Ovis aries: one gene and its partner. The protein of the gene in region 1 interacts with the protein of each later gene in a biochemical or structural test. Links are inferred from orthologs where the notes say so. Each region holds a gene or a part of one and is shown in the gene's direction. Other genes may lie near its edges.

Region 1 (2,336 bases):
CAAGGCAGGAGCCACGGGTTTGAACCCTGAGTCTTGAAGATCCCCTGGAGAAGGGCATGACAACCCACTCCAGTAGTTTCGCCTGGAGAGTCCCATAGACAGAAGAGCCTGGTGGGCTCCAGTCTATAGGGTCGCAGAGAGTCGAATATGACTGAAGTGACCTAGCACGCACTGTGAGGGAACATCAAAGCTGCAGACTCACACTTGCTAAACATTTAACGAAAAAAATACAACCCAGAACCTTGAGTGGCATTGTATGAGAAATGGAAGAAGGGGCAAGATCAGGGTCAGAGGTCAGGGCTCTAGGCTCATAGCTCAGAGATCAGTGTCAGAAGCCAGGAATATTGATACCAGGCATATTCTGACAGTAACAGATTGTCATTGATAGACTCTTTTAACCATATTTTCTGTTGAGCTTTCTGGCAGGTAGATTTGTTGACATTACAAACTTTCACTTTTTATTTACAACAAATAAATTTGTCTAATACAAATACAATTGCTTGCTTTACAAAGTGACCCAGATAGTAATAGTGTCCCTTTCATTTTGCCTCAGTTGAGTAAACTGCATTCATTATACAATCAACTCTTGATCACATCAAGCTCTGGGTTAGTACCAGATATACAAGACAGTCACTCTTCTCAAAGCAAGACACACAAGTACACAGCCCCTTGAGTGTTACAAGAGGGTGACAACTGGGTGCTCTATGAGCATTCACTAGGGGCAGACTGTATCTGAGATGAAACCTTAAGAACAAATCGGCTCTATCCAAGCTCAGATAGTTTGGGGAAAATCACATTAGGCAGAGGTAATAGTACAAAAACAAAACAACAAAAAAATGCCTTTCCTATTGTAAGAAGGCATCCATGTGCAGTGATCCATTCATTTCTGTTTTCTGTTGCAGGTTGGGACTGAGTTTCAACAGCATCTCTGCTGTTGACAATGGCTCTTTGGCCAACACTCCTCATTTGAGGGAACTTCATTTGAACAACAACAAGCTTGTCAAAGTGCCCGGTGGGCTGGCCGACCATAAGTACATCCAGGTAATATAAAACCACTAACTATTGTGAGGAATATCTAGGGAGCAAATCATCCCTACTGGGATGCCTGGAGGCAGGAAATTCTGCTTAGAAATGTTTTTGCAGAGAGATATTTTTAATGTTTCTACATGAATTTTCATTCTGGTTCTGTGAGATATATAGGTTTAAATTAATATTAATTTTTTTTAATTAGGACTACTACCTTGAACTTACTATATTACTTGCTTCCAGAATGTAATTTATTTTTTATGAAGCAGGGTAGTTTCAAGTCACAGATCAGTGTTACAAATACATAGTATTTAGATATCATCTGTAATCTATGCATATGAAATAAAATAGTTTTAACTTTGAGTTTCAACAAACATCTTGTAGGTCAAAAGACAATGTCTACCTAGCTGTGTGACTGAATTAACTTCATATAAATTATCAGTTATCATATATTCTTAAAGATAAGAAGATATGGTTCAGTGGTTCACTATGCTAACAGAGCTTTACAGTTCATAAATCTGTAAAAGTAAGTCATGCTTATTACTTTAAGTAGTCATAGTGATTTCATATATAACAATATAAGATTTCCATTGTTATCTTGAGGAAATTAAACAAACATGTTGTTTAAATTGTGTATTTTTAAAAGATTATATATATGAAAAGCTCAATATATAGTGTGTCTTACTGTGGTCACAGAGATAAAATTATCAAACATGCCATTTTGAAATCTTCCTTGAATATCAGCAAATTTCATGGACATTTACACAGGGCCCCGCATTCAGAAGGACCTTGCTCTTAGTTTCCCATTTCCAGTTGGCATCCATGTAGTCATATTACCTACATTTCTCGAGGCTCTTAGCGGTTTCACCTACTCTACTTTTTTTTTCTATATCCATATAGTCCAAATATTTTTAAATTATGTAATTATCCAACTATCACCACAATATAGTTTTAGAATATTTTGATTACCTCCCAAATAGGCCTCTTTCATATTTATTTCTAGTTGTTCTCAATCTCGTCCTCAGGCACAGGGAATCATTAATCTGGTTTCTCTATATATGTTTCTTTTCTAGACATTTCTAAATGTAATCATACAAGGTGTGGCTTTTGTGGTTGGCTTCTTTCACTTATCAGAGTAATTTTAAGTCATCCATATCACAGCATGTGTCAATAATTCAATCATTTTTATTGATGAATTGCACATCATTATATGGATATACCACATTTTATTTTGCTAGTACTATACCTTTTGATAACTGTAACTTCTGATTATGTTTAGAAATGAGAAAGGAAGTTCCTCTAAGCTTGTT
Region 2 (3,500 bases), on another chromosome or scaffold:
GATCATGGCCTGCCCCCTTCAGTCCCAGTCCCCAATTTTTCCTGAACTGGGAGTCTTCTTAATTTTGTTTCCCTTCCCCCACCCCTGAAGCCATCCTTATCTAGAATGAACTTGGCTTTCTATAACCAGTTAAGGGAGGAAATACTACTAATAATAACAAAAATAATGCCACATTAGCAGGGAGGGAGCATAGCCTAGGGATTAAGAGCATAGCCTCGGATCAGACTGGCCGAGTTTGAATCCCCACCCCACACTGTAGTTTCCTGGCTGTGTGGCTTAGGGACAAATTGTTTCATCTCTTTGCCTCAGTTTGCCCATCTATAAAATGGGTATACTAATAGAATCTTTCTCATGGGGTTGTTGAATACACATTAGAGTAACTACTGTATGCAGACTCTGTGCCACATACTTTATCTGCATCATCTCATCTATTTCACACTGGCATCCTGACATCAGTCCTTGGCTTATAGGTGAGAATCTGGCACAGAGAGAGGAATTCATCTGCCCAAAGTTCCACTGTGCTTCAGTTAGGAGAGCCTGGGTTGGGAGGCAGAGAGCTTGATGTCAAGTAGATTTAACCACTCCAAGAGGGAATGTGACTTGCCCAGGGTCACAGAAGGCAGCAAAGCCATAGTCTCATCCAAGCGCCCTTTATCTCTCTGCTTCAACGTAACTTGCATTTGAGACTCCAGGAGCTGGGGAGGCCTGAGCAAGCAGAGCAGCCCCATCCTCAAGCCGGCTTTGTACTGAGGGGCCACTTCCTACCTGATGAGAGGGAAGAATGGATAGGACCCTGTTTAAAGAGCTAGAGGAATTTCCCTGGTGGTCCAGTGGCTAAGACTCGAAGTTCCCAATGCAGGGGACCCAGGTTCGATCCCTGGTCAGGGAACTAGATCTCACATGCTACAACGAAGTGTTTGCATGCTGCAGCTAAAGACCCCACATTGCACGAAGCCCAAAGATCCCACACCACAACTAAGACCCTGCACAGCCAAATAAATAAATATTTAAAATAATAATAAAGAGGTGGAAACAAACTCAGAGAGGAGAAGCTAGTCACCTAAGGTCACACAGCTAAAAAGTGTCAGGGTCAGAGTCCAACCCAGAGCTCTTCGATTTGGGGTACACTAGCTCCCCTGCCCCTTGCCAAACACTGACAGCCCCCCACCCCGACTCTTTCTGCCTAGAAATCTATGACAAAATGAAGTCTAGCTCGCACAGCATATATATGTTCTTCAACACGTCTGAGCTCCGGGAAGCAGTGCCTGAACCTGTGTTGCTCTCTCGGGCAGAGCTGCGCCTGCTGAGGCTCAAGTTAAAAGTGGAGCAGCACGTGGAGCTGTACCAGGTGGGGGCAAGGGTCCTGGAAGGTGGCCTGGGCTGGGGGGGTCCCAGGACGGCTGCAAGGCTGGTGGCTGCAGGGTCCACGAGGACCAACCCTGAAGGATGAGGGAGCACAGAGTGTGGAGTCTCCTAGAGCCTTAGAATGTTAAATGCTTAGCAGCTGGAATTTTCGGAGCTGGACTCTGAAAACTCAGGACAAGGAAAGTTGGAATCTTTGAAAAGTTGGAGACTTTCAAAACGCCCTGTGCCCACCCAGTAGCCACTAGCCACATATGGCCATTTAAGTGGATTAAAATTAAATAGAAGAAAGAATTCAGTTTCTCAGTCTCACTGGCCATAGTTCAAGTGGCACGTAGTCACATGGGGTGAGTGGCTGCTATTTTGGACACCACCGATAAAGCCCATTTGCATCGTCACAGAAAGTTCTCTTGGATAGCTCTGTTCTAGAAGAGTCTCCAGGAAGAGTCCAGAAAATCTGGATTTTCTTGAAGGTTATGTGACCTAGACGCCCTGTCAGATGGAATGTTAGATTCAGTGGTCGATGTTAGATTCTTACGATGAGGAAGCTTTGATATCAACTGCTCGGAATCTAGAGAACTCGGCTTTATGCTGCCAGTTCCCAGGGTGTCATCATTCCTTGTGGATGTCAGGCGTTTGCAACGTCTAGGTTTCTGGCTCATCGAACTCCTGGGTTTGTTGAACTTGACTCTCATAAAACTTCTCGGGTTCATAGAATGTGTAATTCTTGGGGTGCCACCAAGTGCTGGAGTTATGGAATGACTTCGAACATAACTTCTAGAAAGCGATAGACTCTCGGAATTCAGAGCTGTATCGTCAATGACCTCTATGATGTCAGTAGGGGAATTTTAGCCTCATGAGCTGTCCAAGCTGAAAGGAACTGGGCATTTCATCAGTGAGGAAACTGAGGCCAAAAAAGAGAAAGGAATTTTCCACAGCCATCCCGGAATCAAGGGTGGAGGCTGAAATGCCTAGGTGCCTTGAGCCCCAGCCTGGAGTTCTTTGTCCCCTGTCATGGGGTTGGGTGGTTTCTATGAAGTCCCTCAGTGTGGATGTCTGGGAGGTGGACTGTCTGATGGACTGTGTGGAGACCCGTTTTGGGAAGCAGATGGAGTGAGGGGTGCAGGATACATGGGTGTGTGTGGCAGCCTCTACCCACTATCTCACCCAATTCTTCATCCCTCAGAAATATAGCAACAATTCCTGGCGCTACCTCAGCAACCGGCTGCTCGCCCCCAGCGACTCACCGGAGTGGCTGTCCTTTGACGTCACTGGAGTTGTGCGGCAGTGGCTGACCCACAGAGGTGAGGACCACTTGTCTGCCCCACCTCTATTTTGTAACCCATTATTTGTCCTGGGACCACCCTGCCTAGCACCCCCTGCCTTGTGTTGGTGCTGAAGAGCCCAGACCTGGCCCTCCTCCCAGACACTCACACCTGAGTGATTAATGGTTAATCTATTTCTTGAGCACCTGCATTGTGCTGGGTGATGCTGGAGACACAGAAGTGACGGAAACAGCTTCATCCTGACCTTCAGGAAGCTTGTGCTCCATTGCTTGGGTTGGGGGACTTGGGGAAAAGACCTGAAAACCAGGTAGTAATGTCCCAGTGTGGGCAGGGTTGGGATGGGGAGCCCAGAGGAAGTGCCTGATGCAGCCTGGGAGGTCAGGGAGGGCTTCCTGGAGGAGGGGATATTGGAGCGGGTATCGAAGGGATGCCTGGGGCCAGCCTGGGATAGGAGGGAGGGGCAAAAGTGTTCAAGGCAGGGGGATAGGCTGTGCAGAGGCCTCGAGTCCAGGGAAAGCCTGACACACCTGTTCTGTCTGGAAGAGGACTGTCTGTCCTGTCATGTTGAAGGCCCCAGTGCTCACATCTCCCTTCTGAGTCTCCCTCTCATTCATTCCTTCACTGGGGTAAATGCTAGTAGGTTCCTGCTCTCTGGCTGGCCCTATGCTGGTGGGGTGGGGGAATCAGAGGTAACCATGACAACCTCTAGGCCTGCCCTCATGGGACCCGCACTCACTTCTAGATACCCAGGAAATCTTGCCCAAAGCCCTAGCAGGCCATGATGGCCAGGGGAGGCCATAAGTGCTATAGGAGCCCAGAGTGGGTACCCTTACTCCTCTGAGGGGGTTCAAG

Evidence for each region.
Region 2: the proteins of DCN (region 1) and TGFB1 form a complex in vitro, tested with the Homo sapiens proteins (3 studies listed by BioGRID). The link is inferred for Ovis aries from reciprocal best matches to the Homo sapiens genes DCN and TGFB1.

Annotation. Positions count from the first base shown.
Region 1 is NC_056056.1:127,553,290-127,555,625, reverse strand, and holds part of DCN (decorin), read left to right. Parts: intron 1-902; coding exon 903-1,041; intron 1,042-2,336. UniProt on the Homo sapiens protein: May affect the rate of fibrils formation.
Region 2 is NC_056067.1:50,056,175-50,059,674, reverse strand, and holds part of TGFB1 (transforming growth factor beta-1 proprotein), read left to right. Parts: intron 1-1,187; coding exon 1,188-1,348; intron 1,349-2,548; coding exon 2,549-2,666; intron 2,667-3,500. UniProt on the Homo sapiens protein: Transforming growth factor beta-1 proprotein: Precursor of the Latency-associated peptide (LAP) and Transforming growth factor beta-1 (TGF-beta-1) chains, which constitute the regulatory and active subunit of TGF-beta-1, respectively.